Arabidopsis thaliana: one gene and its partners. The protein of the gene in region 3 interacts with the protein of the main gene of each other region in a pairwise test. Each region holds a gene or a part of one and is shown on either strand. Other genes may lie near its edges.

Region 1 (3,754 bases), on a different chromosome or scaffold from region 3:
CTGTATCAGATTCTATCACTTGAGAAGGATCTGAAGATGCTTGTTGACCTTGGTCTTTGAGTATCTGGCCTGTAGAAGGATCTGAAGGCGCTTGATGTTCTTGGTCTTTAGGTATCTTCTTTGGAGAAGGTAAAGAGACAGCTGGAACTCCAAATTTATCTTTCGTAACCTTCAACTGTTATGATAGTCATTGATTATCAATAGAAAACTCAAGAAGTGATATAGTAAAGCCTAAAATAAGATGTAACAAGATCGAGTATGAATCCTCTAGGGTGACTACTTACCACAGAGGCATAGGATTTCTTGGGAGCATCTGCAAGTCCATCATCAGGGTCATAATTTTTCTGTGAATCATCTGCAACTTCTTTGCAAGTTATCTCAGTCCTTGCAACTTCATTAGCAATCTCAGGTACCAGAACATTATCCTTAGCATTCTCATTATCCAAGGGTTTGGACACTTCCTTACAAACAGGATTCACTGAAACACATGCAGCTTGCTCCGAACCCTTCATGCCTGTAGGAGCTAAAGTGTAAGAAAAGGATTGGAATAGAATTTGCGTTAGAAGAAATATAAGTTTAACTTACCATTGATAATAGTGGGTGTTGTAGAGTTTATCCCAGAAACAACTTCCCCATCTATGGTCTCTGGAACATTATCCTTAGCATCATCATTAACAAATCTGAGGATGTCATTCAGAACAAAGAAACCCTTTTCTTGCGGGGCAAGGAAAAAAGTTTGGGTGAATTTCCTTCTCGATCTCTCGTTTAGAGTGAAGTATCCAGTAACGAAGAGAAGGAAACCCCCATTGTGAGACTCTTGAGTATCATAACTGGTTATCTCAGCCGAGTTGCAATCTCCATAAGTCAGTCTCTTAAGCTCCTCACTTATACCCTGCACAAAGAATAAGCATCAATGAGAGACACTTTTAGCAAGTTACTTAAACTGCCATCCAATTTCCACCATACCAAATGACACTCCAGCCCAACCCCATGTTAGTTACTAATCCTTAACATCATAAAAATGATATAGTCTCATCCTCATTCAACCAAACCCAACTAAACTACTAAGAACTACTTACTTGAAAAGTGGAGAAATCACGCATGACTCCGTCCTGTCCAACACGGCCAACTCTACTGATCTCTTGATAAAACCGGGGCAGATGCTCAGGCATGTTACAGAAAATGTAGTAGTACTGATTGACAAACGCACTCCCAACCTATATTAACCAAACCCAAAAATACACTTTAACAACAACAAAAACAGAACAAACCACACAAAGAATCACAATTACAACTAGTAAAAAGGAGAAGAAACCCCATAATTGAAAAAACATACAGTAAGTGGGTCAACAACACGTTTGGTTGCAGCAGTAGAATCCATTGTATCGCCAACTTCCAGAGAATAAACAACACCTGTAATTCATAGAAGACTGTCAAAACTCAGAATCAATGTAAATCACAGAACAACCCAAGAATCATGTAAAAAACAGAAAATCTCTAAATCTCACACACAACTTTCCAAAATCGTTTCCGTAGAAAACGTAATTCATGAACTACACATAGTGACTCGATAAACACTTAACAAGCAAGAAAACGAACTAAGAGGCAACAACAAAATCAACTTCACAAAAGCAACCCAAAATCGTTTCATGAAATAAACACAGAAACAACTTCGAGAAAAGCACAAACTAGCTAAGAAACCAACGAAATCTACTTCACATTTCACTCCGAAACAGTGTAGATCACATTTTTCCGGCGAAATCGTGACATTAAACTGACGGAAGAGAAATAGTAGAAGAAGATTCACCTGAAATTAGTGAAATTGGAGCTTCGATTGAAGTCTGGGACCAACAATGGCGGGACCTAGGGTTTGATCGCTAGAAGGAAGGCCAAGTGTACGGAGAAAGCGAAAAGGCAACGGAAGAGGACTTTGTGGGGACTGTGAAGAAGATGTTTATATAGACGGGGAGAGAGTGTGTGTGTTGACGACTTTTTTATTGCCTTTTTGACTCTCACGTGTCAAACATGGTCCGTTGCACTTCCTCACCTTTCTTCAACAGATTTTATTCTCCACTAACTTTAATATTACTTACCTTTTATTAATGAGTACATTAGATTTTAACTTGGGTTAGCACATAATCCCAAAGAATTCTATAAGGTGAATTAGAGAATAATAACTCCTCTTGAATTGTTTTGATAGCGAAAAACCGGAATTAAATTTAGACACGGGATAATCGATACTCTTCTCGTGCGTTTTTTAGATTGTAGTCAACTTATTTGGCTTATTCCTTTGTCATGCGGTTTTTCTCGTGCGTTTTTAGATTGTAGTTTACCTATTTGGCTTGTACCAAATATTGAACGTGAGAAACATGTAGGGTGTTAATTTGAGTATGTATTAGTCTAAGTTTAGTTTGAATTTAGTATGTTTAAAGAAAAAAAGTTAGTTTTGATAAAGGAGTATGGGCTCAATAAAACAAATGAACATGTATATTAGGCAAACGAAAAATGTGTGGTGTTCTTCTGAAAATTCTTTTATGAACACCCAAACTTATGGTTAGAAGAAAATCACTGATCAAGCGTTTGAACAATACATGATACAAAAACTTGTGAGAGAAAAATATTCGGTGTGGCTGATGATATAAAGCTAGAATTTTTATAGCCTTAATCATGACGAAAAAAACCAAACTCAAATTTAATCCTTTTGAAACTGATTATACCTCGTCGAAATGATATATTCGGTCACTTCTTAGCTATTTATAAGATTTCAATTTTTATCATCTATATGTTCTGTTATTCAAAAAACAACGAACATGTTATATCAGAGTTAATACTTTCATTTGTTTGCCTATTGGGCCGATAATGGGCCGAGCCTTAAATTTAATTTCAGAAAAAAGCAACGATATGATAGATCATGAGACCACCAACCAAAGAGATTTGACAGATAACAGAAAAATGTTGAACTTATGAGCTAAAAAAGCTTCTCCTCCTTACCAAAGACTCGACGGTCTACCGGAAAAAATGGCTGCCAATTTCTGGAATTCATCTCACTAGTAAATGTTCTTTAAAACTTTACCCATCAAAATTCACTTCTTCTTCTCCTTCTAAGCAACTTCTAATTTCAATTTCTCGAATTTTTTTGTTTTGTTTTTGCGTTTGTACGAAACAGTAAACAGCTTTTGGATCCAGAAGAAGTCGACGTAGTTCATGATCTCGATAAAGAACGTGGAATCTCAATTGATGATTTTAAGCTCATCAAGTTCCATATGTCTAATCGTACGAAATCCTTTTTCTTCTTAATTCTTCGAATTCTCCTGCTTACTTAAGCAAATTTGTTGTCTCTGTTGCACTGGTTTGATTAGAGATTGATCAGAGAAGTTTTTTGAGTTTATGTCTCTTTGTTTCTTCATTTATTGTTGTTTTCAGATATTATGAAATTGGCTCAGCACATTAAAGTGAGGCAAAGGTTGGTTCTTTACAATTTGGGGGTCCAATTTTTGCTATATCAAAGAGATTCTACTGTTGCAGTACTTCCATTACTTTGTTTTGCTTCTGTAGATTTAACTAGCTCTAATATCTGGTGTAACCTGGACTTGTATATGAATCGTCGCCTTGGTTTTTCTACTTATGTAGGGTTGTAGCTACTGCAATTACGTATATGAGACGGGTTTATATCAGGTATGCAATGTATTTTTGATATGATCGTATACATCAATGTGCATCTTTGTGTATGTGAGGAATGAAATGAGTTAAATTC
Region 2 (3,754 bases), on a different chromosome or scaffold from region 3:
ATAATTTGTAGTACCCAAACATATGAATCGGCGACCTGTCAAATTAGTACTAGTCTATATATGGTCCAACACAAAAGATGTGAATCTCGTTTGATATCAATTTGTTTGCATATTTCAATCTTACTATTATTATTATTATGATAATATTGATGAAGTTTGGATTTTAATTTGCAGATGGGAAGTGATTGGAGATGAAGAAGGTATACAGTATGGTCCTTTCCCTGTACCCAAGAAGGGTTTACCAATAAGAGTAACCCCGATTTAAGCCTAAGGCATATTTGGGATTTTTTTTACTAGTCCAATAAGTCATCTTTAATTTCTCTTAGTAGAGATTTTTTTCTTCTTAAACTTTAAAATTGGCCTCCAATTTGGCCCCTTTTTCTTTTGTAATTTTTTTTTATCTTAATGTAAAGCTGCAATTTAATCAATCTCATTTTTATTGCTTTGGACTTATTGAAATATCTTTGAACTCTACATTTCCAACTAGCTGTTATTGCTATCATGTTGTGACAGTTGCGTTGAAATATTTGCGTTTGTGTTTGGATCCGAAGCAAACGCCAAATTTGGAATTTGATATTCTCTTTTAACCTCTTGGATCCTAAATGTTCGATTTATCCTTTTACATTTTCTCCGGCATCATTTTCTACAATGCAATAATTCCGGATATTTGTTTGAGATTCCGTTCAGACATATAATGAGCTGAGGTAGACGTAATTGTTTGTACGGAAGCAAAAACGTATTATAATTATTTACTTGTAAGTTTTTAGTTGGTAGTATTAGTAAGTTATACAGAGTTGTAAATAAACTAATAATTCGATTAGACCACCATTATCAATATTGTTGTATGTAACAAACACGGAAGTACATAAATCGTTGAGCCGTGGAAAGGAGACAAAACATATTTTTAGTCTCGTGATAAAACGAGTCGCCACGTGTCCACAGTCGGGTACGTGCATGAGATCTAACACACTTTATAACTAGCTTACGTGGGACTCTCGACTTCCATAAAAACGAAGAAGATTGAAATGAATCTAATTCATTGTCCCCGATTTGTCTCTGTCTAAAGTCAGAGAATCAGAGATTCGTTTCAGAGTAAAATGATTTTGCATTGGTCCACTTAAGAGTCTCTTAACCATTCCAAAGGTTTGGTGGACAAAACATGCTCCAACCCTTTCTTATCCAATTTGTCCCCTCTTGTCTCTCTTTAATTAAGCCCTACCCCAAAGTTTTTCACATGATTTGTTCTTGAAAGTGTCTCTCTCAATCTTTGTTGTTTATTATTATTATTTGATGTGAGGCGACTAGAACGTGTACAAAGAAAAGAGGGGAGATTGGGGATTAACACGATCGATATTCCTTTTGGATTAGATACGTGAAGTACCCGAAATGTATAAGTTTTAACATACACTAAATTAGTGTCAGTAATAATCGGCGTAAATGAGAGGAGTCTTTCAAAAACATACACTACATCTTATATGTCGATCAATAGACATAGTTCATACCCAAAAAAATATACAATACGATGGTATAAGGTGCCATGATTTCCAAATTGAGTTTTTGCTTGATATCAGTTCCTATACATTGTTTATGAGGAACAAGTTATGTATATATGTCTATAATTTTATCATATATATATATATATATATGATAAAATTAGTGATTATTTATTTGTTTCTCAATTATGATTTAAAGAGCCATAATTCTTCTTTAGCCAAAAAAAAAAAAAAAAAGATAGAACCATAATTCTTTCATTAACAACAATGCAGATAATTTCGTTGATGATGGTTAGTGTCCTTTTTAGTTAATATTGGTTCATTACTGAAAATAAAATAAACTGATATGCTACGGCTACCTCTTCACTTTTATTTTCAATTTATGACAAAAGCTATGCCCATATGTTCTCCAAGGCCCAATATATGTAAAATTAGGCCTATGAACCAAACACTGGTTTAATAAGACCGGTAAGCACAAGTTGGATTCGGACATTATTTAGAACAAAACCGGTTCAAGAGAATCTACAGAACACAACAAGTACAGAGTCTTTTTGTCTTTGACATTTCATAAACCTTCTCTTCTCTCGATAAACTTCAGATATTAAAAAACCCAAACTTTTATTTCCCCCAATCAAAAACCCTAATTTCTTCTTATCTTGTTTGGATTTTTCATTTCTTCTGTTTGATTTTATTCCACAAACACAATAAAAAAGTTTGCATTTTTTCCTCTTCTAAGCTCGTTTCAGATCTTCGATTTCACCATTTTTATAAACTATTATGCGAACTTAGTTTTGTTCTTTGTGATTTTGTATGACAATGATCTTCTTCTCTAAGCTTAATCGCTCCATTTCTCGTTCAAAGGTTAGTTGTTATTTTCATTTCATTGATTCCTTCTCAGATTCGTTCTCAATTTGTTTTTTTTTTTTGCTTACCTGATTTTTGTTTATATGTGAAATTAGGGATTTTTGTACGGTGGTGGTGTTAGATCGGCGGCAAGGCTACTTACTTCGCCGGGACTTGAGGCGGCGTCTGTGAATGAAGTGGAAGGTGGATTAGGGTTTATAAGAAGACACTTTGCTTCTTTAGCTTCACGGAAGGGTTTAGTCAATAATGATTTGATTGGTGTTTTTGCTAATCCAAGACTTCGTAGATTCTTCTCTGATGAAGCTCCTAAGAAGAAGAGTATGTTTGCAAAAATGTTAAACCATTTTTAATGAGTGTTGAGAATTGGTTATAAATTAGTGTTCTTGTTGTTGTCTTTGTGTAGATTATGAGAACTATTTTCCTAAAGATAAGCAAGAACCCAAGAGTGATCAGAAATCAGAGCATAAAGGTGAACAACATAGATTTTGAAGATACTTTTCTTATTATGAGACCTGTTGGTGCTACTGAAGGATTCTAATAATTGTATATGTTATTGTTGCAATACAGAGGGTTCAGAAAAGAATGAAAATGAGAATGTGGGAGATATGTTCATGAACCGATTCCAAAATTTGCTAATTCCTCTACTAGCTCTTGCTGTATTCTTTTCTACTTTCTCGTTTGGCTCTGGGGAACAACAACAGGCAAGCATATTTAAACTAAGCTTTGTGATATTCTTGGATATGGAACTGCAGATGTGGTTCTGCTCGTATAGTTTCCACTAATATCCTATGCTACCTTTTATTGTTTCAGATAAGTTTCCAGGAGTTCAAAAACAAGCTACTCGAGCCTGGTTTAGTTGACCACATAGATGTTTCAAACAAATCAGTAGCAAAAGTCTACGTGAGGAGCACACCGAAAGACCAACAAACAACTGACGTTGTCCATGGTAATGGTAACGGTATTCCTGCTAAAAGAACTGGTGGTCAGTATAAGTACTACTTCAATATCGGTAGTGTTGATTCTTTTGAGGAGAAACTCGAAGAAGCTCAAGAAGCGTTAGGTGTTGATCGTCATGAATATGTTCCTGTCACATACGTCTCTGAAATGGTCTGGTATCAAGAGTTCATGAGGTTTGCACCGACTTTGTTGCTCTTGGGTACTCTGATCTATGGTGCGAGACGGATGCAAGGTGGATTGGGTGTAGGAGGAACTGGCGGTAAGAATGGTCGTGGAATTTTCAATATAGGCAAAGCTACAATAACGAGAGCTGATAAACATTCCAAGAATAAGGTTAGAGACTTAGAGTTTTGCCTTTGTTTTTAATGATCCGTTTGGAATTTATAAACTTACTTTTGTTGTTTTCTTCGCCAGATTTATTTCAAGGATGTTGCTGGATG
Region 3 (3,754 bases):
CTGTTCATCATCTCTATCAATGAGATCTACCTCTTCCTGCAAACAAAAAGAAACAAATTTAATAGATACACTGTTGAAAGCTCACAGGGCAAGCAGATCACAGGACAAGCGGCCGTGGCTTTAAAAGGTAATCTGGAACTATATCAAAGAAAGATAGGTGATTCCAGAGTATTAGTCCACAGATAGGTCAAATGCATAATCGTTATCGCAATTAAACACAGCTACTAGAGACATAATTATACAAGTTCTTAACAGAACAACCAGTGAGTTTCCCCGAGAAATAGCTTGTTGGGGATGAGATAAGCAAAGTACACTGAATCATACTTGCGAGCAAATGAGAGCAGTAAAGAACATGTGCAGTATCGTTTAATAAACAGCAAATTCTCCAATACAGAGAAGAGGGGAAGCATATTATCTTACAAGTAAATGAGAGCTGCCAAGAGCTCGAGCGGTGTCAACATACAAATGTCTGCCTAAAATGTTGACTTGAACCCTAATGTATAAGCTAAGCATTGTCACAGACCACAGAGACAAAACCATCCTCGTGAAACCTGGCAAATAACATGAATATACAGGTAAGAAACAGAATTTGATAGAGTAAGAGTAGGTGACTGCAGTGCATACTCAAAATCTTGAGCTCATCCCAGAGCTGAAGTTTCTCAGGTGGACTCAGCATTCCTTTCCCTTGGTTCAGTCTGTCCATAACATGAGAGACATCGATCTCCTCGCTGATACGGATACTCAAAAACTGCATTGCGTGAGGCAGTGTGGTCGAATCCACAATCATCTGAATACTCTCGAAATGTGCTTTCATTCTAAACAAGAGTACAAACAAGACAGGTCCGTTAGAGAATCCATAAGAACTGAAGTCTAAAGGATCAGTTTTTATGAGCACAGAACTTAACTGGGTTTTGATGATTTCGTCATTTTCACGCTCGTGAGCGAGTTCTCGTTCCAAATCAGCAAGCCTACGAGTATGGGAATTGTATAGTTTGTAGAGTAAATACCCACTTCCCAAACAACCAGCCGTCACCAAGACCTTCCTTCTATGCTTCCTCCAAAAACCCCTAATTTATTCCACAAGGTATTGAATCAATTAAAAACCCTAACTTTATTCACCAAAAACCCTTCCTAAGGAATTGGAATTAGTGTGCTAGAGAGAGAGAGATAGAGAACGCAAAACACTAAATTTCGAATTTTCACGAAAACAGTAAGCAATTACAAAGAAAGATGAAGCGAACAAGAACCTAACGAAATCCATGGCTGGTGAAGCTTTTACTGAAGTCGAACCCAGAGATACATAGCTGAGAAAACACGTAGAAAGATGAAGATTCCCGAATTGATTCGTTCGGTTTGAAAAGGAGATAACTTTGCAGGCGAGAGAAAGAGATGGTTGATGTGATCGATTTCAATTTAATCAATCACTTCATCTTTTTCTTCTCCGGAATTCGGACATGTAAAATTATATCTTCCACAGGGACAGTCGAAGTTGTGTTCTTAGTTCTTACAATAAAAGTTGAAATGGCCAAACTCGGTTTGTTTACTTTAATTGAACCGACTTTTGAGTCTATTTCAATTTTTGACAATAACTTCTCGGTAGAGTTCTCATGGGGTTTGCCCAAAAGAGAGAAAAAAAAGTTGTCATGTCATGTACTCATGTGGTTATCAAATTGACTTGTAACAAGCTATACCAATTCTGGTTAAGCGTTCCAAACAGAAAGATATAAATCTCGGTTCCATAATTGTCCCAACATGAAACCAAGTTGGGTAGAATACCGGGCCTTAATGCTGGCCCAAATGAAGAGACCCAAACTATTGACAAATGAAAACAAAGAACCCTAATTATCTCTAACTATAAATACTCTCGGTTTCTCGTTACCTCCATTTTGCCCTCTCCCATTTTTGTCGCCGAAACCCTAAATCTCGACCTCAAACCCTGAACCATGGCTGAAGGACTCGTGTTGAAAGGCACAATGTGTGCCCACACTGATATGGTCACCGCCATTGCTACACCGGTCGATAACTCCGACGTGATTGTAACTTCGTCGCGTGACAAATCAATCATCCTCTGGAAACTCACAAAGGAAGACAAGTCATACGGTGTTGCTCAGCGGAGGATGACTGGTCACTCTCACTTCGTTCAAGACGTTGTTCTCTCCTCCGATGGACAATTCGCTCTCTCCGGATCTTGGGACGGTGAGCTTCGTCTCTGGGATCTCGCTACCGGAGAATCTACTCGTCGTTTCGTTGGTCACACGAAAGATGTTCTCTCTGTTGCTTTCTCTACCGATAACCGTCAGATCGTCTCTGCTTCTCGTGATCGTACGATTAAGCTTTGGAACACGCTTGGTGAGTGTAAGTATACCATCTCTGAAGCTGATGGTCACAAGGAATGGGTTAGTTGTGTTAGGTTTAGTCCTAATACTCTTGTGCCAACTATTGTATCTGCTTCTTGGGATAAAACTGTGAAGGTCTGGAATCTTCAGAATTGTAAGCTTAGGAACACTCTTGCTGGTCACTCTGGTTACTTGAACACTGTGGCTGTGTCACCTGATGGTTCGTTGTGTGCCAGTGGTGGCAAAGATGGTGTGATCTTGCTTTGGGATTTGGCTGAAGGGAAGAAGTTGTATTCTCTTGAAGCTGGCTCTATTATTCATTCACTTTGCTTCAGTCCCAATAGGTACTGGTTGTGTGCAGCAACAGAGAATAGCATTAGGATTTGGGATCTCGAGAGTAAGTCTGTTGTTGAGGATTTGAAGGTTGATCTTAAGGCTGAGGCTGAAAAGACTGATGGTTCTACTGGAATCGGAAACAAGACCAAGGTATCTATTTCTCCTCACTCTATCTTATGGTTAATTGTCTAGTTCTAAGTTCTGTGAATTAGTTAGCCGTTGCCTTAAAAGATGAGATTTTCATAAAGGAAGGTCTGAATACTCTCATGTGAAGTTAGTTCACAAGATTTGATTGGTACGTAAGAGAGTAGCTAACATTAGATTGAGAAACCTGGTTTTAAGTTAGCTCTAGTCTCTGATTTCTTAGATTGTAGTGTCTGAAGTGATTCCATATTGATTTGTTGGTTACTCTTTGGTCTGAGGTGGTTTATATATGTTCTAATGTGGAATGTAAAATGCAGGTGATCTACTGCACAAGCTTGAACTGGAGTGCAGATGGAAACACTTTGTTCAGTGGATACACTGATGGAGTTATCAGGGTTTGGGGTATTGGTCGTTACTAGAGAGACAAGAAGTTTCTTTATTCTCTCCAAATTTTTCCATCGACTCTAAAGTCTTCTCTTCTGAATTAGTGTTTTGAGGATTTATTTTTTGTTCTTTTCTATTTTCAGAATCCACAAATGTGATATTTTGATACATTGATTTTGTTTCATATTTGTTTTCTTACACTGAGTCTGAGTACACGGCGTAGAATCTGATTTGAAGTTGTTACTTGTATCCTCTAGAAAGTAGAAATGGCTTTAGGTTGATGACTAACTGTATAACAGCAAGAATTTTTTCTTAGGAATCTGAAAACTTCAAGGAGTTATTAGCCTTTACTTTTCCAGTGGTTACATCTTAACTACAACACGAACCCTTTCAAAAGAATCTCTAAACACCAATGCACCAACCAGTTTATCTTTTTGTACTTAATGATATTTGGTTTTCCATCTCTTACTCTACCAAAACTAAGAGTAGTCTAAAGTGTAGGCGACAAGGCCATATGTTATACGAATTCTCAGTTAACATGAACCGAATATAGC

Evidence for each region.
Region 1: the proteins of RACK1B_AT (region 3) and AT5G48650 interact in a two-hybrid assay, tested with the Arabidopsis thaliana proteins (one large-scale study listed by BioGRID).
Region 2: the proteins of RACK1B_AT (region 3) and ftsh3 interact in a two-hybrid assay, tested with the Arabidopsis thaliana proteins (one large-scale study listed by BioGRID).

The regions. Positions count from the first base shown.
Region 1 is NC_003076.8:19,724,906-19,728,659, reverse strand, and holds the start of AT5G48650 (Nuclear transport factor 2 (NTF2) family protein with RNA binding (RRM-RBD-RNP motifs) domain-containing protein), read right to left. Parts: upstream 1,989-3,754; 5' UTR 1,808-1,988; intron 1,414-1,807; 5' UTR 1,382-1,413; coding exon 1,337-1,381; intron 1,218-1,336; coding exon 1,080-1,217; intron 893-1,079; coding exon 586-892; intron 515-585; coding exon 285-514; intron 176-284; coding exon 1-175. Other genes in the region: AT5G48640 (Cyclin family protein), read left to right, coding at 3,019-3,050, 3,167-3,273, 3,424-3,463, 3,631-3,675.
Region 2 is NC_003071.7:12,491,549-12,495,302, reverse strand, and holds the start of ftsh3 (FTSH protease 3), read left to right. Parts: upstream 1-1,973; 5' UTR 1,974-2,303; coding exon 2,304-2,354; intron 2,355-2,452; coding exon 2,453-2,675; intron 2,676-2,760; coding exon 2,761-2,826; intron 2,827-2,924; coding exon 2,925-3,058; intron 3,059-3,167; coding exon 3,168-3,647; intron 3,648-3,728; coding exon 3,729-3,754. Other genes in the region: CYP707A2 (cytochrome P450, family 707, subfamily A, polypeptide 2), read left to right, coding at 175-265. UniProt on the Arabidopsis thaliana protein: Probable ATP-dependent zinc metallopeptidase. Involved in the assembly and/or stability of the complexes I and V of the mitochondrial oxidative phosphorylation system.
Region 3 is NC_003070.9:17,981,458-17,985,211, reverse strand, and holds RACK1B_AT (receptor for activated C kinase 1B), read left to right. Parts: upstream 1-1,834; 5' UTR 1,835-1,943; coding exon 1,944-2,822; intron 2,823-3,133; coding exon 3,134-3,235; 3' UTR 3,236-3,576; downstream 3,577-3,754. Other genes in the region: PEX3 (peroxin 3), read right to left, coding at 1-36, 102-138, 243-313, 421-551, 625-815, 906-1,067, 1,248-1,261.